2 linked regions of the Macaca fascicularis genome follow. The protein of the gene in region 1 interacts with the protein of each later gene in a pairwise test. Links are inferred from orthologs where the notes say so. Each region holds a gene or a part of one and is shown in the gene's direction. Other genes may lie near its edges.

What was found.
Region 2: the proteins of UBE2I (region 1) and TRIM21 interact in a two-hybrid assay, tested with the Homo sapiens proteins (2 studies listed by BioGRID). The two-hybrid records come from large-scale screens. The link is inferred for Macaca fascicularis from reciprocal best matches to the Homo sapiens genes UBE2I and TRIM21.

The regions. Positions count from the first base shown.
Region 1 is NC_088394.1:2,050,170-2,060,881, forward strand, and holds the start of UBE2I (SUMO-conjugating enzyme UBC9), read left to right. Parts: upstream 1-5,697; 5' UTR 5,698-5,971; intron 5,972-6,188; exon of another isoform or gene 6,189-6,326; intron 6,327-10,491; 5' UTR 10,492-10,502; coding exon 10,503-10,568; intron 10,569-10,712. UniProt on the Homo sapiens protein: Accepts the ubiquitin-like proteins SUMO1, SUMO2, SUMO3, SUMO4 and SUMO1P1/SUMO5 from the UBLE1A-UBLE1B E1 complex and catalyzes their covalent attachment to other proteins with the help of an E3 ligase such as RANBP2, CBX4 and ZNF451.
Region 2 is NC_088388.1:69,998,609-70,009,275, forward strand, and holds the start of TRIM21 (E3 ubiquitin-protein ligase TRIM21), read left to right. Parts: upstream 1-5,328; 5' UTR 5,329-5,375; intron 5,376-8,578; exon of another isoform or gene 8,579-8,582; 5' UTR 8,583-8,614; coding exon 8,615-9,022; intron 9,023-9,297; coding exon 9,298-9,393; intron 9,394-10,508; coding exon 10,509-10,667. UniProt on the Homo sapiens protein: E3 ubiquitin-protein ligase whose activity is dependent on E2 enzymes, UBE2D1, UBE2D2, UBE2E1 and UBE2E2.

The DNA.
Region 1 (10,712 bases):
CACCAAGACACCCCTAGATTCTCTAGGGCCAGTCAGAGGCTGAGGGCCCAGGCCTCTGTGGTTAGGGGGTTCCCTCAGGGAGCTCGGGAGGAGCCCTGCAGAACACGGTAGGATCGGGTCACAGCCTCTGAGCAGTATCTTCTGAAACCCTCATCCTGGCTGGTTGAGCTGCAGGGGAGACCCCCAGAGAGTCAAGGACATGTCCTCAATTGGAGGAGGAAGTGGGGTACATCCGGGCTGGCTGGAGGTGCAGGAACCAGAGTGATTTTTTTCCTTTGCCTTTTTTTTTTTTTTTTCTTGAGGCGAGTCTCGCTCTGTCTCCCAGGCTGGAGTGCAGTGGTGCAATCTCAGCTCACTGCACGCTCCAACTCCCAGGTTCACACCGTTCTGCCTCAGCCTCCTGAGTAGCTGGGACCACAGACGCCCGCCACCACGCCTGGCTAATTTTTTGTATTTCTAGTTTCACCGTGTTAGCCAGGATGATCTCGATCTCCTGACCTCGTGATCCGCCTGCCTCGGCCTCCCAAAGTGCTGGGATTACAAGTGTGAGCCACTGCGGTTTTGTTTTTTTCGAGACGCTGTCTCGCTCTGTCGCTCAGGCTGGAGTGCAATGGCATGATCTCAGCTCACCGCAACCTCCACCTCCCGGATTCAAGTGATTCTCCTGCCTCAGCCTCCCGAGTAGCTGGGATTACAGATGCCCGCCACCATGCTCGGCTAACTTTTGTATTTTTAATAGAGACGGGTTTCTACCATGTTGGCCAGGCTAGTCTTGAACTCCTGACCTCAGGTGATCCGCCCACCTTGGCCTCCCAAAGTGCTGGGATTGTAGGCGTGAGCCTCCACACGCAGCCCTCCAGAGCCATTTTCTTATTGATGTAGGGGTTTTCTATATCCCAGATTTTTATTTTTATTTTTATTTTTTTTTGAGACGGAGCTCATTCTGTCGCCCAGGTTGGAGTGCAGTGGCACGATCTCAGCTCACTGCAACCTCCGCCTCCCGGGTTCAAGCGATTCTCGTGCCTCGGCCTCCCCAGGAGCTGGGGTGGTGTACACCACCATACCCAGCTAACTTTTGTATTTTTTAGTAAAGACAGGGTTTCACCATGTTGTCCAGGCTGGTCTGGAACTCCTGACCTCAAGTGATCCGCCCGCCTCAGCCTCCCAAAGTGCTGGCATTACAGGCGTAAGCCACCCCACCTAGCCTATTATCCTGGATATTAACTCCTTCTCAGATGTGTGATTTTTTTTTTTTTTTTAAAGGGAGTCTCGCTCTGTCGCCCAGGCTGGAGTGCCGTGGCGCCATCTCGGCTCATTGCAACCTCTGCCTCCCGTGTTCAGGAGATTCTCCTCCTTCAGCCTCCCAAGTAGCTGGAATTACAGGTGTGCACCACCACACCCGGCTAATTTTTGTATTTTTAGTAGAGATGGGGTTTCCCCATGTTGGCCAGGCTTGTCTCAAACTCCTGAGCTCAAGCGATCCGCCCGCCTTAGCCTCCTGAAGACCTGAGATTACAGGCGTGAGCCACCGCGCCTGGTCCGAGGCTGACTTCTGAGCTGGTTTTTGTGCTTGCTCCGGGGTAAGGGTCCACCTTCACTCTACTGCAGAGGCCCCTCTTCCTCTGGGGGAGTGGCCTCTGCTCTCAAACCCCTGCGTGCAGAGCCTGGCCCCAGCAGGCCCCAGAGGGGGCACCCAGGACACTGGGGGTCCTCATCACACTTCCTGCTCCCCTCCCAAGGGGACCGCGGCAAAGGTGGGCGCGTGCCTGGCACAGTCAGCCACAAGCTTTGCCCAGGATCGTATAGTTACTGATTCAAACCCCCCACGCTCTCCAAGCCTCGGTTTCTCTTTTGTACCCAGGAAGCTGGACCCAACAGGTCCCCTCTCTTTGAAAACACGTGTGCCAAGTGCAGGCTGCTCAAAGAACACTTCTGGGCTGAGGATGCACAACTGAGGGAGCCTCTTCCCTCCCCTCCTGCTCCATGCCCCTCACCCCCCCCATGCCCCCCGCCCCCGCCTGCTCCATGCCCCCCACCCCCGCCCCGCTCCATGCCCCCCGCCCCCGCCCCGCTCCATGCCCCCCGCCCCCGCCCCGCTCCATGCCCCCCGCCCCCCCCCCGCTCCATGCCCCCCGCCCCCGCCGCTCCATGCCCCCCGCCCCCGCCTGCTCCATGCCCCTCGCCCCCGCCTGCTCCATGCCCCCCGCCCCCGCCTGCTCCATGTCCCCCGCCCCCGCCTGCTCCATGTCCCCCTCCCCCGCCTGCTCCATGCACCTCGCCCCCGCCTGCTCCATGTCCCCCTCCCCCGCCTGCTCCATGCCCCTCACCCCCGCCTGCTCCATGCCCCTCGCCCCCACCTGCCACAGCCTCCCCAAACCCCAGCCCCTCCCGGCACTACTTCCCACCAGGACGAGAATTCTCTGAGCACCTGAGCCATGTCTCCTCAATCCCTCACCACCACATACAGGGAACCAGGGCCTTATCTTGCTTCTCCTGTTCCATAACCTTCTATGGCTCCCATGGCCCACAGGTTCAGGCCCAGGCCCTCCCCAGCCACACACCACATCCAGTCAGTCTCCTCAAGCCCCACTTATGACAAACCCCCCACGTCGCCAGCCCTGCCCTCTCTGTGCCTGAGGCTGGAGCGGGATCCGCCCAGGCCCATGGCTCTCCTTGCTTTCCTTCGACCATGGTCTTTACTGACTGACAGCTCCCCACACAGCCCTGTGCCGGCATCTTCGCCAGAAAGATGGCGTTGGAAACTTAGCCCATGCCAGGAAGCCAAAGGGCCATATCCCTCCGCCAGGCTTGCCCAGGGTGCTGGTTAAGAATGCAGATTTCGGCAGGGCGCCGTGGCTCAAGCCTGTAATCCCAGCACTTTGGGAGGCCGAGGCGGGCGGATCAGGAGGTCAGGAGATCGAGACCATCCTGGCTAACACAGTGAAACCCCGTCTCTACTAAAAAAAAAAAAAATAGAAAAAAACTAGCCGGGCGAGGTGGCAGGTGCCTGTAGTCCCAGCTACTCAGGAGGCTGAGGCAGGAGAATGGCGTGAACCCGGGAGGCGGAGCTTGCAGTGAGCCGAGATCTCGCCACCGCACTCCAGCCTGGGTGACAGAGCAAGACTCCGTCTCAAAAAAAAAAAAAAAAAGAATGCAGATTTCAACCAGGCACGGTGGTTCATGCCTATGATCCCAGCACTTTGGGAGGCTGAGGCGGGAGGATCACTTCTTCAGGTCAGGAGTTTTGAGACCAACCTGGCCAACATGGTGAAACCCCATCTCTAATAATAATACAAAAATGAGCCAGGTGTGCTGCTGCACGCCTGTAATCCCATCTACTCGGGAGGCTGAGGAAGGAGGATCGCTTGAACCCGGGAGGTGGAGGTTGCAGTGAGCCAAGATGGTGCCACTGCACTCCAGCCTGGGCGACACAGTGAGACTCCATCTCACAAAAAAAAAAAAAAAAAAAAAGCAGATTCCCAGGACCTCAAGGCTGGGGGCCGGGAGAACAGGTGTCCAGACAGGCCACGGTGGCTCTGAGCCTGGGATGCGCAGCCAGGCCAGGCCCGTGCTGGTCTTGGTGGGACAGGGCTGTGTGCAGGTCCCAGGGCCTGGAGTCTGGGGGAGGCCGCCCCTGCTGCCCTGGACCCCCACCCCTGCGGCTACGCCTCCTGGGCAGGCGGACCCAGGGTGCGTGGCCGCCCCTCCTGCTGCGGGTCCCTGCCGGGGGAGTGCCTGCTGGGGACCCTGTGGGAGGCGGTGGGGGGAATAAGTGAGGGAGGGAGGGAGTGAATGAGTGAGAGAGGGAATGAGTGAGGGAGGGAATTAATGAATGAGTGAGAGACGGAATGAATAAGTGAGGGAGGAAATGAATGAGGGAGGGAGGGAATGAGTGAGGGAGGGAATGAATGAGTGAGGGAGGGAATGAGTGAGGGAGGGAATGAATGAGGGAGGGAGGGAATGAGTGAGAGAAGGAAAGAATGAATGAATGAGGGAGGAAATGAGTGACGGAGGGAAGGAATGAATGAGTGAGGGAATGAGTGAGTGAGGGAAGGAATGAGTGAGGGCGGGAATGAGTGAGGGAGGGAAGGAATGAATAAATGAGTGAGCGAGGGAATGAATGAGGGAGGGAGGGAATGAGGGAGGGAGGGAATGAATGAGCGAGGGAAGGAATGAATAAGTGAGGGAGGGAATGAGTGAGTGAGGGAGGGAATGAATGAGGGAGGGAATGAGTGAGGGAGGGAAGGAATGAATGAATGAGGGAAGGAACGAGTGAGGGAGGGAATGAGTGACGGAATGAGTGAGGGAGGGAGGAATGAGGGAGGGAGGGAATGAGTGAGGGAGAGAGTGAATGAGTGAAGGAGGGAGGAAATGAGTGAGGGAGGGAATGAGTGAGGGAGGGAATGAATGAGGGAGGGAGGGAATGAGTGAGGGAGGGAAGGAATGAATGAATGAGGGAAGGAATGAGTGAGGGAGGAAATGAGTGAGGGAGGGAATGAGTGAAGGAGGGAGGGAATGAGTGAGTGAGGGAGGGAATGAGTGAAGGAGGGAGGAAATGAGTGAGGGAGGGAATGAGTGAGGAAGGGAATGAATGAGTGAGGGAGGGAATGAGGGAGGGAGGGAATGAGGGAGGGAGGGAGGGAATGAGTGAAGGAGGGAGGGAATGAGTGAAGGAGGGAGGGAATGAGTGAGGGAGGGAGGGAATGAGTGAGGGAGGGAATGAATGAGTGAGGGAGGGAATGAATGAGTGAGGGAGGGAATGAGGGAGGGAGGGAATGAATGAGTGAGGGAGGGAATGAGTAAGGGAGAGAAGGAACGAATGAACGAGGGAGGAAATGAGTGAGGGAGGGAATGAGTGAGGGAGGGAATGAATGAGTGAGGGAGGGAATGAGGGAGGGAGGAATGAATGAGTGAGGGAGGGAATGAGTAAGGGAGAGAAGGAACAAATGAATGAGGGAGGAAATGAGTGAGGGAGGGAAGGAATGAATGATGGAGGGAATGAGGGAGGGTGGGAATTAATGAAGGAGGGAATGAGTGAGGGAGAGAAGGAATGAATGAAGCAGTAAGGGAGGGAATGAGTGCGAAAGGGAATGAGGGCGGGAATGAATGAGGGCGGGAATGAATGAGGGTGGGAATGAGTGAGGGAGGGAAGGAATGATTGAGTGATGGAGGGATTGAATGAATGAGTCAGGCAGGGAATGAGGGAGAGAGGGAATGAGTGAGTGGGGGAGGGAATGAATGAATGAGGGAGGGAATGAATGAATGTGGTCAGTCCCCGCGGTCCCCAAGCACCCGGACACCGTGACCTTGGCGGCGGCCCCGCCGTCGGCGAAATGGGGGGCGGGGGGACCGGGAGAGCCCCGGGGCCAGCACGACCGCGCGTTGGCGAACGGAGTATCCCGCGCGCTCGCGGGGCTGGGGGCCTCTCGACCGGTCTCGGGAGTTGCGTGGGCGGGGGGTGGGGGGCTGTTGCCCGGAAGCGCCCCTCCCCCAAGGGCTCGCCCCGCCCCCGCCGCTCGTAGTCTCCCCACGCCCCGCCCCCGCCCAGGGCCCGCCCCCGGATTAGGGAGCATCCACACTTCTCCTCCCGTCGGTCATGCTCGCTTTCGGCCTTTTGTACGGGGTCGGCTCATTGGGCAGATGAGAAGGTCTCTCCGCCCACCGCCCAGAAATGGCCAATTGCAAGAGGTTTCACAGGGCGCTGAACTCGCGGGAGCGTCACCGTCCTGCGACGCTTCTGGGAATCCTTAGGCCTCAGTGGTCTTTGCCCCCCGGCCCCAGGCTCTGACCCCAAGGAAACCTCGGAGACCTGTGCCTGGAGAGGTGACCGCCGGGCATCCGGGGAGCTTTTGGAGATCTCGGCCTCCTTTATCCCCCGCTGCTCGCCGGCGTGTCCTCGGGTGGACGCGGGCACCCCGAAGGGGAGTTTACAGACGCTCCCTCACATCGGGGACGCGGCTCCTTTAAGGGCGTAGGTGTCCAGGGCGCCGCCTGACTGAAAAGTCACCCCCCCGGCCGGGCTCCTGGGGCGGACCCGGGGCGCGGGCGCGCGGCGGCGGGGCACGGGCAGCGGGGGGCGCGCGGCGGCGCGGGCGGTGCTCGGGGCCGGGCGGCGGTGGCAGCGCGCGAGGCAGGCGTGCAGAGGGCAGCCCTGCACCAGGCCCCGCCCCGCGCGCCCCGCCCGCGCCAGGGTCCTCGGAGCTGCTCGGGCTGCGCGCGGAGCGGGCTCCGGAGGGAAGTCCCGAGACAAAGGGAAGCGCCGCCGCCGCCGCCCCGCTCGGTCTTCCACCTGTCCGCGACGCTCGCCGGGGCCGCGGCCGCCCGAGGTGAGCGCGGGCGGGGGCCGGGCCGGGGCCGCGGGGCGGGGGTCGGGCCGAGGCCTCTACTCCTGTCGGGCCCGGGCCCCCGGCTGCCCCGCGCCCCGCCCCGCCGAGCCGGGCCCCGCGCCGCGGCCGAGCTTCCCGGGGAGCCCGAGAGGCCCCACGCTCGGCGCCGGTTCGGTCCGCGCTGCTGGCGCCGCGGGGCTGCGGCCCGAGCGCCCCGGCCGCCGCAGGCCTTGGGGGCCGGGGCTCCCCCACTTCGCCCCCGAGGTGCTCCTGGCGCGGGGCCGGGGCAGCCACCTGCAGCCGGGGCCCCGCGAGGCCGCGCCTTCCTTCTGCGCGGGGAGCGGCTTCCGGGGTCACTGTCGCCCCGCGGACGGAGGGGATGGGTCGCGGGGGAGACTCTTGGATTGCAACACCGCTGGCTCGCGGGGGTGGGGGCCGGCGAGCGGGCTTGTTTTCGGTGCCTTGAAACCAAAACAAGTCTTAAGTTTTCCTGCGCCTCTGAAGATGCTGCCCTGGCGCTTGCTGGGGCCCTGAACGTGAGCGCCTCGCTGGAGGGAGTTTTATTGTTTTGGGGATGGGTTTTTACCGGTTGAATAGTGGTTGGCTCTGGTAGTTAACGTGCGTGGGAGGAAGGTAAGGGAGTGATTAGCTGGGCTTGTGATCGTGGCCTGTAGTCACGCTTGAATCGCAGAATGAAGTGGTTTCGTTTTTATAATTGGAAGTTACGCTTTGTTTCTCTGTTTGCAAAGTGCCTGTCTTTGGGGAGTTCGGTTTGTTTCCTTTTATAGGACCTACGCCGAATGTTTTTTGAAGAACAAGAAACATTGCGTTTGGGTAGAGAAGCTGCGCAGCGGAAGACAGGACGGGACCTGAGTTTGTCCTGATTGCTCCTTCAGAGGTCCCTTCCCTAGACCACTGGGTGGTTGAAGGTGTGCGCTTGTGTGATGTGTCAGGGTTTGGGATCTTGCTTCAGAAACATTCTGGGGGCCTGGGGCAGATCAGGTGCGGCCAGGTGAGCGTCTCCTGACTGCAGGTGCCTGGGTCTTGCAGAAGGGAATACCTCCCCAAGCCTGGGAGAGTTTGCGTTTGGGTGCAGGAGGACCTTTACAGGCTTCTTGTGCCAGCCGTCGTGGCGACCACCCGTTGTGGAGATGAGTGCGGTGGAGTTGTGAGAGGTGAGTGCTTTGCTCACCTTCAGCCAGGAAGTTGCTCGGAAGTCGGTGCTGTCAACCAGCAGAGCAAGGTGGTGATCCGAGAAGCTAAAGCTCAGCCGGTCGCGGGTGCCCAGCAGGACAGAAGGCAGACCTTCAGGCCACTCCTGGAGTGCTTGGCCCTGTCCTGGTTGCTGCAGTGTCTGGGCCTTGCTTGGCTCTGATAGATGAGGGTTGTTTTTGTCTTTGCCTCATATAAGTTCCCTGCTCTGAAGGGTCTAGTAACTGCTAGCCATTCACTTAGTGCTTATCTGTTAATTTGGAAGGGCAAATTCGATTTTCAGCGGGATTTTGAATGCTTCGTCTGTGTTGTGATTACATTGTAACACATTGGCCACTTTCTCCAGGAGGCCAGTAGGAGGGGGAGCAGGGGGAGGGGCCTGGCTTCTGCCTAGGACAGGGTGGGTGTGCACCTGTGGCTCCTTGCCCTGTGGTGCAGTTTCCTGTGAGACCACCCCGTGGTGCTGAGTGCTTTGGGGCAGGGGATACAGCAGCATCAGCCAGACCTTGGCGGGAGGTCTCACAGGAGCACCCTCACGACTTCTCACATCTGAGACAGCAATAGCTAGGTGCTGGGACGGGGGCCTCTAGGTGGCTCTGTCCGGTCTTCAGTAGGAGGGCTACCTGTGGCAGGGTCCCAGGCCTGGCTGGCCTCTCTGGGGCTGGCCTCTCTGGGGCCTGGCCTTGCCTGGCTGTGAGGATCGTGTTGGCCATGGTCCTTCAGTGTCTGGAGCACTGGCCTGGGGCTTCAGAGACCTGCTTGATTCCTGGCCCCGCTCAGACCCCGGGCACCTGGGAGGTCGTGGCTCCTCAAAACGGCCGTTCACCAGGCTGCTTTGCACCGCACCAGGCACAGGCTGTGGCTACTCATGAAGCCCACCCTGGGGCTGGGGAAGCGAGAGCTGTGAGTCCTCAAGCCACAACTGAGCTGCTCCATGTGGAAGTGGAGGGTGGAGACACGTGCAGAGAGAGCCTTGAAACCGTGGTTGGCGGGAGCTCCACTCCACTCTGGGCTCGAACCCTGCCTGCCCACAGCTGAGCCCAGCTGTGTCCCCCACTTTCTCCCTTTCTGGCCCCTGGCTTCCCCCCACCCCCACTTAGAGAAGGGCATGGGGATGGGCAAGTGGTCCAGAGGGCAGGCGGCCTGCGGGCTCCTCCGCATCCCTGTGAGGAGGGTATGGGGAGGGACATCCCGGTGGGGCCCAGTCTGGGGCTACCTGTCTTGGACTTAATCGTGTAGCTGGAGGCCAGTACCTGGATGGCCCCTGTCACCCTCTCGCTGTGATGCCAGCACCTACTGACTGGAGGACCCGGGTTCCTTTGCCTGATTTTTCTCAGGCTGCCCTGAGGATCCGTGTTTGGTTAAAAAGGAGCCAAATCCACCTGCAGGGCAGGCGGCTCTAGCAGCCCCGCCTGGCTTCCAGCACCCTGGTTCCCTGGCGACACTGGACCCGCCTGGGCTTCCTTGATCCCAGCCCCACCCCTGATTTCTGATTTGCTGCCTCGGGAAGCCATCGCGCCGCCCAAAACCTGAATGTGGGCCTCTCGGAGCTCCTTCCTCAATGAGTCTGCTGGGGACTGGGCCTTGCCTCCCTAACAAGTGCCAGGTGAGGCTGCGGCGGCTCTGGCCCAGGCGGAGCTGCTGACCTGGCCCCTCCCTGCAGCTGTGAGGTGTGTGAGGTTCGTGGGCCTGCACAGGTGCGGGCGCCATCCAGGTCACCAGGGCCCTTGTAGGGACGGCCCCCCCACAGTTTGGAAGGCCTGGCGCAGCCCCCAGCTTTGTTGAGGTGGCCCTTGCTTGGCGCTGAGATGCCAGACTTGGAGGCAGCTTCAGTGTTCCCGTGGACTTTGAAAACCAGCACACACTTGGGTTTGAATTCTCTGGCAGGTTTTGTGCCCTGAGTGCTGTTTTTCATGGTAAAGGTGACCACCAGTAGGGTGACAGGTGAGGCTGGTGTCGAGGCTGCTGGCCCTGTCTGCCTGGTGTCCCCGGGGACAGTGCGGGCCGACAGGCTCCCGCTGGGAACCAGAAGGCAAAGGTGCCAAGCCCCTGAGGTCCCGTGCAGAAGTGTGGAGCTGGAATCTGGCGTGTGTGCCGCTGCCTCTGACCAGGGACCTGGTCCCGTACCCCATGCTCCTGCCCTGCCCCACAGGACCCGTCTGTCCCCTGAAGCCACAGGGACATGCTAGCGTCTGCAGGGTCCGGGAACGGTGGCCCTGTGGGGGGCTCCTCTTTCAGCGAGGCTGAGCCTCTGCCCTGTGGTACTTGTTCCACTCTGTCTTCAACACGGTGAAACCCCATCTCTACTAAAAATACAAAAATTAGCCGGGCATGGTGGCGGGGGCCTGTAGTCCCAGCTACCCGGGAGGCTGAGGCAGGAGAATTGCTTGAACTCAAGAAACGGAGGTTGCAATGAGCTGAGATAGTGCCACTGCACTCCAGCCTGAGGGACAGAGTGAGACTCCATCTCAAAAAAAAAAAAAAACAACAATATTAGGTGTCCCCCTGGCCCGGCTTGAGTCTCAGTTCTGAGCGCCTGATAGTAAGGCGGGGACCCAGCCCTGCCTAGTCCCCACCTGACGGTTCAGTGAGGACCCTGCCACGCCAGCCACCACAGGGTGGCAGCTACCGCCCAGCCACAGTGGCCCAGCCTCTGAACATCCGTCTCCACCGTGGAGCAGAGGCCACGGCACGTGTCGCAGACCAGGGCTCGGGGGGCCCATGGGGAAGGGGTCCTACCTGCCCCCCCACCCCCGGTGATCTGGGATCCACTCATGAGGCCTCCCCTGGTAGACCCCGGGGTCGGACGACGGCTTCCAGGAGGAGAGTCTCTGCTGGGCTGGGCTGGCGCCTGTTAGGAGCAAGACTGCCCACTGCGGGCCGTGTGCACGTGGCGGGGCGGTAGGAGCCCGCTAGCCTGTCCTGACCCCGTGCTCTGCCTCCTGTGTTCCAGGGACTCTGAACATGTCGGGGATCGCCCTCAGCAGACTCGCCCAGGAGAGGAAAGCATGGAGGAAAGACCACCCGTTTGTAAGGAGGGCTTCGTTTCCGTGTGCAGTGCCGCGGACGGCCCCCCTGGGCTGAAACCGTGCCCCCCCCCACTGGGAGGGAGCTGGCCGCGTGCCTGGGTCGCGCTGGTGGGGCTCGCGGGCCGGTTCTCAGTGGTTTTGGTCA
Region 2 (10,667 bases), on another chromosome or scaffold:
ATACTGGACAGATTCCTCATTCTCACTCCCCAGTAACAATGGTCAATGTATTAGGAACATTAAGAACACTGATCCTTCAGGAATAAAGGGTCATCTCACCAGGAAAAACTAAGGTACCATCAGTGAGTGAAGGGAATCTGCAATGAGTGGCAGCTTTTGTCATAAAGGCAATCACCAAGGTGGCAACTGTAGCAGCTATGAATATGTTACGTTAATCTCTATATTATTGAACATTATCAAATCAACTCTGTGGTGTATGTGTTTATACCTCTATTTAATATATGAGTACACTGAAGCTTAGAAAGATGGGCACCTAGTAACTCACAGAATCATCACTGAATCCATGCCTTATTATGAGACCCTTGTTCTTCTCTACCCCTCCCAACAATGGCTTATTCAGTGCCTGCAAGAAACACGAAGGGTCTGCAGGGATGTGAAGCAGTCATTTTCTGAGTGTCGGCAAATTCAGATACAGGTCTCCTTCATTTGTTGTGGTTGTTGTGGTTGTTGTTTTATTCTGTTTCCATTCTGCTTTCTGGGATTCTTCATGTTCCTGGAATCAAATCTGAGTACAGCAGTACAATATGAACCTTAGCTGTCACCTGATAGCCTTTCAATGAGCAAAAATTCTCTTAAGAGAACTGGAAATATCAAAGCATGAAGTGTTTTTCAGTTTTCTAAATCCATAATCAATATCAAGGAAAGTTCAACTGATGTTTTTACCTTACATTATAAGAGATAAAAATAAATAAAAAGACAGGATATCTGAGTTGGAATGTGTTGAGAATTCTAGCCTCTCCAAACTTCCTCCTCTTCTCTGAAGTTCATGGCTACATCCCTACCAGCTGCCCTACAGCGTCTGCTTAAACCGACAGGGCAGTCTGTTTTCTCTAGGATATCATTAAAATGAGGGTCTTCCCTGGACCTTTAACTCTCATGCACCTATGTCTATCTGTCACCACAAGCCAGTCACTTCACTCCATTTAGCTTCAGTGTCCTCCCCTGTAACACAAGTATGATAACCTCAAAGTCACCCAATGGTTGTGTGGCTTAAACAAAATATAACCTGACATAGCAGCATTATTGACAGTAACCAAAAGGTAGAAACAACCTAAGTGTCCACAGATAAATACATAAACAAAATGTGGTATACATTTCCCCTCCTTTTGAAAAAGGTAGGAAATTCTAACACATGCTATAACATGGATGGACTTTGAGAACTTTGTGTAACTGTAATAAGTCAGTCGTAAATGAACAAATACATTATAATGCCACTTATGAGGCACCTAGAATAGTCAAATTAATAAAGAAAATAGAATGGTGGGTGCCAGGGGCTGTGGAGGAGGACAAAATGAGGAGTTGTTGTTTAATGAGTGTGGAATGTGGTTTAGGATGATAAAGTTCCGCAGGGCTGGGCACTGTGACTCATGCCTGTAATCCCAGCACTTCGGGAGGCCCAGGCGGGTGGATCACGATGTCAGGAGTTTGAGACTAGCCTGGCTAACGTGGTGAAACCCCATCTACACTAAAAGTACAAAAATTAGCCACGCATGGTGGTGGGCATCTGTAATTCCAGCTACTCAGGAGGCTGAGGCAGAATTGCTTACACCTGGGAAGTGGAGGTTTCAGTGAGCCGAGATCGCGCCACTGCACTCCAGCCTGCATGACAGAGCAAGACTCCATCTTGGGAGGAGAAAAAAAAAAGTTCTGAAGATGAAGATGGACGGTGGTGGTAGCAGCACAATAATATGAGTATACCTAAAGCTGTTGAACTGCACACCTTAAAAATGGTTGAGGTGGCTCAGAGATAAAAGGATGGTTCAGCATACACATCAAACAAGGTGATACATCATATCAACAGAATGAAGGACAAAAACCATATGTTCATTTTAACTGATGCTGAAAAAGCATTTGGTAAAATTCAACATCACCATTAAAAAAAAAAAGCTTGGCCGGGCGCGGTGGCTCACGCCTGTAATCCCAGCACTTTGGGAGGCCGAGGCGGGCGGATCACAAGGTCAGGAGATCGAGACCACGGTGAAACCCCGTCTCTACTAAAAATACAAAAAATTAGCCGGGCGCGGTGGCGGGCGCCTGTAGTCCCAGCTACTCAGGAGGCTGAGGCAGGAGAATGGCGTAAACCCAGGAGGCGGAGCTTGCAGTGGGCCGAGATCGCGCCACTGCACTCCAGCCTGGGCGACAGAGCGAGACTCCGTCTCAAAAAACAAAACAAAACAAAACAAAAAAAAAGCTTGAAAAACCGAGTGTAGAAGAAATATACCTAAACATAATAAAAGCCATATATGACAGACCCACAGCTAATATCATACTGAATGGGGAAAAACTGAAAGCCTTTCCTCTAAGATCTGGAACAAAACAAGGATGCCCACTTTCACCACTGTTATTCAACATAGTACTGGAAGTCCTAGCTACAGCCATCAAACAAGAGAAGGCAATTAAGGGCTTCCACAATAGGAAGGAAGAAGTCAAATTATCCTTGATTTCAGATAATATGATCTTATATTTGGGAAAGTCTAAAGATTGTCATTTCTAATAGTTTTTTGAGGAAACAAATTCAGAAAACTTGTAGAATACAAAATCAACATACAAAAATCAGTAGCATTTCTACATGCCAGGAGCGAATAATCTGAAAAGAAAATAAAAGTAATCTCATTTACAATAGCTACAAGTAAAATTAAATACCTAGGAATAAACTTAACCAAAAAAGTGAAACATCTCTATAATGAAAGCTAGAAAAACATTAATGCAAGATGTTGAAGAGGACTCAAAGAGTTTTAAAAAAAAAATTCCACGTTCATGGATTAGAAGAATCACTATTGTTAAACTGTCCATAATACCGAAAGTAATCTACAGATTCAATGCAATCCCTATCAAAATATCAATGACATTCCTCACAGAAATAGAAAAAAAAATTCTAAAACTTATATGGAATTACAAAAGACCTAGAATAGTCAAAGCTATCCTGAGCAAAAAGAACAAAACTAGAGGAATCACATTATCTGACTTCAAATTATACTATAGAGCTATAGTAAACAAAACATCACCGTAATGCCATTTAAAAAGACACATAGACCAATAGAAAAGAATAGAGAACCCAGAAACGAATCCACACATCTACAGTGAACTCACTTTCAACAAAGGTGCCAAGAACATACAATGAGGAAAGGACAGTCTCTTCAATAAATGCTGCTGGGAAAACTAGATATCCACATGCAGAAGAATGAAACTACAACCCTGTCTCTTACTATATATAAAACTCAAATCAAAATGGATTAAAGACTTAAATCTAAGGCCTCAAACTATTAAACTACTACAAGAAAACACTGGGGAAACTCTCCAGGACATTGGACTGGGCAAAGATTTCTTTCAAATATCGCATAAGCACAGGCAACCAAAGCAAAACTGGACAAATGAGATCACATCAAGTTAAAAAGCTTCTACACAGCAAAGGAAACAATGAAGTGGAGTGACAACCCACAGAATTGGAGTAAATATTTGCAAACTATCCATCTGACAAGAGATTAATAATCATAATATATAAGGAACTCAACTCTATAGGAAAAAAATACAATAATCTGATTCAAAAATGGACAAAAGATCTGAACAGACATTTCTCACAAGAAGACATACAAGTGGCAAATGGGTATGTGAAAATGTGCTCAACACCACTGATCATCAGAGAAACGCAAATCAAAACTACAATGAGATATTATTTCACCTCAGTTAAAATGACTTTTATCCAAAAGAAGGGCAATAACAAACGCTGGCAAGGATATGTAGAAAAGGGAACCCTCATACACTGTAAATGGGAATGGAAATTAGTACAATCACTAAAGCGAACAGTTTGAAGGTTCCTCAAAAAACAATTAAAAATAGAGCTACCATATGATCTAGCAACCCTATTGGATACTGCTAGATATATACCCAGAAGAAATACTGTTAGATATATACCCAAGAGAAAGGAAATCAGTATATCAAAGAGATATCTGCACTCCCATGTTTACTGCAGCACTATTCACAGTAGCCAAGATTTGGAAGCAATATAAGTGTCCATCAACAGATAAATGGATAAGGAAAGTATGGTACACATACACAATGGAGTACTCTTCAGCCATAAAAAGAAGAAATTTTCATTTGCTACAAGATGGATGGAATTGGGGATTATTATGTTAGGTAAAATAAACCAAGCACAGGCAAACAAACAAACAGTTATGTTCTCACTTGTTTGTGGAAGCTAAAAATTAAAACAATTGAATTCATTAAGATAGAGAGGATGATGGTTACCAAAGTCTGGGAAGGGTAGTGGGGCAAGGGTGCAGGGGATGATTAATGGGTTCAAAAATACATGACATAGAATGAATAAGATCTAGTGTTTTATAGCATAACAAGATGAATAGAGTCAATAATTTATCATTTTAAAATAACTAAAAGCATGTAATTGGATTGTATATAACACAAATGATAAATGCTTGAGGTGATGGACAGATACCCCACTTACCCTGATGTGATTATTACGGATTGTATGCTCTACCTGCATCAAAATATCTCATGTACCCCATAAATATATACACCTACTATAGACACACAAAATTGAAAATTAAAAAATTACTTTGGTAAATTTTATATTCTGTATGTTTTACGATTAAAAATAAAAATAATATAACCTGAGAATGTCCCTAGCTCAGTGACAAGAACACAGTTGATTGTCAAATGTCAATTCCCTTCTCACCACTCACTGGTGGGACACTTACCTTGGGGTCATGTGAAATAAATCACTCACCTGCAAGTGTTAAAAAAATATTAGTCACATCAGTCACATGAAAATAATTAGCTTCTGGAAGTAAGCAGATGGTGGCACGCGAGGAAGAGCACCGGCCACTCCTCTGCATCAGAAACTTCCTTAAAAGCAGCTTCCAGACATGCACATAGCATCTAGGTGTGGGGTGATGACCAGTGTCAAAGAAAGTAGCCCGGACTCCCCCGTCATGTAGATATTTTACCAAACCGGATAATGAAGACATGGGAGGGAGCGCGCACCCAGGACCACGGGCTACTGAGTTTCCACTCCTTACCAGTCTCAGAGAAGCCCCCTGGGCGTCCAGAGCCTCTGAAGCCTCCCCCAGTCCAACTCTGACTTCTCTCCTCTCACCTCTCTACCTTCTCTCCTCCCACCTCTCTTGCTTCTCATCAGCATTTCTCCACACAAGGCTTTCAAGGCTCTGCTCCTCCCACTGCTCCTCCCTCACTCCTCCCACTCTCCTCCTCCTCCCTCCCCTTTCCTCTCAGACTTGCCTCTGAGCGGAAACTGAAAGTGAAATAGGGAGCTGGCTACCAGCGTTGAGTCCCCTGTAAAGGTGAGTGAACCCCACTAGATCAAGGGACCCCTGCCCTCCTAGGGGACCTCTCTCCCCTGCCCCAGGGTTGCCCAGCCCCTTCAATCAGTCTCCATCCTTGAGCCGGTCCCATTTGCCCCTTCTCGCACCAGGGATCCCTCAACCCAAGACCAGCTGTGCTTCCGGCGCTGGCCCCCTACCTGGGAGGAGGCTGGGGTGTGGACATGACTGCCGAGTTACCCAGAAGGGGAAGGGACCCGGCTGCCCCCTTCCTGGGAGGAGGCTGGGTTGTGGACGTGACTGCCGAGTTACCCAGAAGGGGAAGGGGCCCGGCTGCCCCGATGCTGGCACGTGACCTGGGATGAAGGCTGGGTGCGGCTGGGAGAGCCAGGACTACAGCCTAGCCAGGACGGGTAGGGAGCTCATGTCGGGGAGGTCTGCAATTCTGGAGATTCCCAGGTCCAAAAGTCCTCCAGAGGTGAGAGGGGAAGGCTGTTTAGGATGTTCAACCAGAAATGTATTCAAAATTATTCTTTGCCCTAGAATAAGTGTTGTCAGGAACTAAACTAAGTTTGGAGCAGCTGAGAAAAGAGCCCAGGGAGTGCTGGCCACAGTTCCTGTTGCTCTGTGTGTATACATACATATACACATGCTTGTGTATATACGTATACACCTACATACCTATATACACCTGACATCTGCCGTTATAGGAAGTATTAATGAAGATATATTCAAAGCATGAAGTATGTCTGGCACATGGAAGGTACATGGTAAAAAGTAGCTATAATTTCTCAGCAGCATGGAGGCCTGTTGGTACCAGACAGGAGATGAATGAGCACTGAGGGTTTAAGCAGGAATGGACATGATGAGAGTAGAACTGTCAACAGCTTTATGAGGTTCTTGCCAATTTTCACTCCCTCTTTTAGGGACTTAGTGTCTCCTTCTGTCTCACTGGATCAATGGACCAACAATGGAGGAGTTCTTGTTATTCAGAACAAGAATAAACTTACTCAACAAACTATTTGATCGGTGTAAAAGTAATTACTGTTTTTGACATTAATTGTTTTGCCATTAATTTTATGCCTTTTATTTATTTATTTATTTATTTATTGAGAGGAAGTCTCACTCTGTTGCCCAGGCTGGAGTGCAATGGCAGAATCTCGGCTCACTGTAACCTCTGCCTCCCAGGTTTAAGCAATTCTGCTGCCTCAGCCTCCTGAGTAGCTGGGATTACAAGCGCCCACCACCACTCCCAGCTAATTTTTGTATCTTTCGTAGAGACGGAGTTTTACCATATTGGTCAGGCTGGTCTTGAACTGAACTCCTGACCTAAGGTGATCCACCCACCTCAGCCTCCCAAAGTGCTGGGGTTGCAGGTATGAGCCGCCGTGCCTGACTCATTATTTTTATTTTTCTTTTTTATTTTCCTTTGTGTCATTTTGTTTTTCTTCTTTTTTTAGTTTATTTTTAACTTTTGTGGGCACATAGTAGGTATATTTATGGGGTATATGGAATATTTTGATACAGGTATACTATGTGTCATAATCACATCCGGGTAAATAGGGCATCCATCACCTCAAGCATTGATCATCTGTGATACAAACTATGCAATTATACTCTTAGTTTTCAGTGTACAATTAAATTATTGACTATAGTCACTCTATCGTGCTATCAAATACTAGATCTAATTCACTCCACTTTTGTACTCATTAACCATCCCACCTTCCCCAACACACACACACCCTCCCTGCTACTCTTCCCAGCCTCTGGTAACCATCTTTCTATTTTATCTAACTCCATGAGTTCAATTGTTTTAATTTTTAGCTTCTACAAATGAGTGAGAACATACAATGTTTGTCTTTTGGTGCCTAGCTTATTTCACTTAACATAATGACCTCCAGTTCCATTCATGTTGTTGTGAATGACAGGATCTCATTATATTTTATGACTGAATAGTACTCCATTGTGCATATGTACCACATTTTCTTTATCCATTTATCTGTTGATGGACACTTAGATTGCTTCCAAATCTTGGCTATTGTGAAACATGCTGCCGTAAACGTGGGAATGTAGATATCTCTTTGATATACTGATTTCCTTTCTTTGGGGTATATACTAGCAGTGGGATTGCTGGATCATATGGTAGCCCTATTTTCAGTTTTTTGAAGAACCTCCAAACTGTTCCCTGTAGTGATTGTACTAATTTACCTTCCTACCAATAGCGCGTGAGTGTACCCTTTTCTCCACACCCTCCCCAGCATTTGTTATAGCCTGTCTTTTGGATAAAAGGCATTTTAACTGAGATGAGATTATATCTCATTGTAGTTTTGATTTGCATTTTTCCGATAATGATGTTGAACAACTGTTCATATGCCTGTTTGTCATTTGTGTGTCTTCTTTTGAGAAATGTCTATTCAGATCTTTTGTCCATTTTTGAATCAGATTATTATTTTTTTTCCTATAGAGTGGTTTGAGTTCCTTATATATTCTGGTTATTCACCTTTTGTCAGATGGATAGTTTGCAAATTTTTACTCCAATTCTGTGGGTTGTCTCTTCACTTTGTGGATTGTTTCCTTTGCTGTGCAGCGCCTTTTCAACATGATGTGATCCCATTTGTCCAAGTTTGCTTTGGCTGCCTGTGCTTGTGGGGTATTTGAAAGAAATCTTTGCCCAGTCCAATGTCCTGGAGAGTTTTCCCAATGTTTTCTTGTAATAGTTTAATAGTTTGAGCCCTTAGATTTAAGTCTTTAATCCATTTTGATTTGATTTCTGTATATGGTGAGATATAGGGGTGTAGTTTCATTCTTCTGCACGTGGATATCCAGTTTTCCCAGCAGCATTTTTTGAAGAGACTGTCCTTTCCTCATTGTATGTTCTTGGTACCTTTGTTGAAAATGAGCTCACTGTGGATGTACGGATTTGTTCTGGGTTCTTTATTCTACTGGTCTATGTGTCTGTTTTTATGCCAGTACCATGCTGTTTGGGTTACTTTAGCTCTACAGTATAATTTGACATCAGATGATGTGATTCCTCCAGTTTTGTTCTTTTTGCTCAGGATAGCTTTGGCTATTCTGAGTCTTTTGTAATTCCATATAAATTTTAGGATTTTTTTTCCTATTTTTGTGAAGAATGTCATTGGTATTTTGATAGGGATTATGTTGACTTTTTGTTTTTCTTACACAGACTTTCTCATATTTTCTTTTCCCTTTCTTTTTCCTCCCAGCCAGCCCTACTAAAGGGCTTAACAGTACGCTTGACAATGGCTTCAGCAGCACGCTTGACAATGATGTGGGAGGAGGTCACGTGCCCTATCTGCCTGGACCCCTTCGTGGAGCCTGTGAGCATCGAGTGTGGCCACAGCTTCTGCCAGGAATGCATCTCTCAGGTTGGGAAAGATGGGGGCAGCGTCTGTCCTGTGTGCCGGCAGCACTTTCTGCTCAGGAATCTCCGCCCCAATCGACAACTAGCCAACATGGTGGACAACCTTAGAGAAATCAGCCAGGAAGCCAGAGAGGGTGCACAGGAGGAACAGTGTGCAGTGCATGGAGAGAGACTTCACCTGTTCTGTGAGAAAGATGGGAAGGCCCTTTGCTGGGTGTGTGCCCAATCTCGGAAACACCGTGACCACACCATGGTCCCTCTTGAGGAGGCTGCACAGGAGTACCAGGTGAGGCCTTAGAGACACAAACAGGAGGAAAGAAGATGGGCCCTGGTGAGTGCTTTGCTTTCAGAGCAGGGAATGGGAGAGGACCACCTCTGGATTGGAGGGGTTAGAGAAAGGAGGAGTTTACCTCTCTCCATGTCTAATGTAGAAGGAGAATTATAAGCTAAACCCAACCTCATTCTCCAGGCGTAGGCGATATGCATGAGAAAATGCTGCAAGGATTACCCCACCCTATTACTTGGTTTGCATGGGGACTAATATGCTGTCTTTCTCTGCAGGAGAAGCTCCAGGTGGCATTAGGGGAACTGAGAAGAAAGCAGGAGTTGGCTGAGAAGTTGGAAGTGGAAATTGCAATGAAGAGAGCAGACTGGAAGGCAAGAATGACATCCTGAAGGGGATCTTAGGCTAGAAGGTTGGGCAGGGTCCAGGGTCCTCAACTCACAGCCTTAACTGTAGCTGTGCCTGTCTGAGCTGTGATAGAGTTGGTCCGTCTCACTCTCCAGAAAGCACCTGCTCTCTAGGTTTACAGATAGATGGGAATAAAAATGATGCAGGTTCAAAGGGGAGCTCCCCATCAGGCCTGAAGATCAAGAATCCTGGAAGAAGGTGCTGAGAGGATCTAGCTATACCCTAAAGTTTTGAGCTCCTCTGAGTCTAGTCTCAGAGGTGTGACGGCATCAGCACCTGGATGTCTGAGACAAATATCCTAGGAGAAACCCAACTGCTAGCTAAGCCTTTCAGGAAATGACAAGGCTGTGAGAAATAGACTTAAGGAAACCATCTGACCAGGTGGTTACTTGACCATGACCAGATCTCTGGTCCCAAATATAATGAAGAATCCATGTTTGTTCTGCACTGATCATTTCCAAGGAGACGTGGAGCATGTTGGGGATGAGAGGGGAGAGGAAGGAGCCCATCCCCAGTAGATCCCAGAAAAGAAACATTTGGGATTGAGGTAGGGTGTGAGTTGGGTTGTGGTGACAAAACAGACCCTCATGTCATCGAGTGACCTTCCAGTTACTAACAGGAGATGAAAAGCAAAGAATGTCCCCAAGCCCCCTTTCCCAGGACTTGGAGGTGGTGGTGTCAGCCTGGCTTTGTGAGGTTGTTGGAGGTGGGAACAGGTGTTTTTTTTCTCAGTAACTCACTGAGACAGGAAGACACAGGGGCACATTTGAGTGGTGACTGGGTTTGGAAGAGAGGTTGGAAAAAGTCCCCAATGCCGTATATCCATGTAGCTGTGGTTGTAGGCCAGCTACAATGTGCCCTCACCAAGTCCATTCCCCTCACTGTCCCGGAAACTTCACCTACCTCCCAAGCAAAATTGTGTGTGTGTGTGTGTGCACATGCTTGTGTGTGTGTGCGTGTGTTTTCCCAGACAACACCAGAGTGGAGTCTTTGGGGAATAGGAATAGGTACCAATACCTCCATTCCCAAAGTTTGGGAGCTTTTCATAAAAACCACCTCTCTCTTTCCCTTGACACTAAAGAAAACGGTGGAGACACAGAAATGTAGGATTCACGCAGAGTTTGTGCAGCAAAAAAACTTCCTGGTTGAAGAAGAACAGAGGCAGCTGCAGGAGCTGGAGAAGGATGAGAGGGAGCAGCTGAGAATCCTAGGGGAGAAAGAGGCCGAACTGGCCCAACAG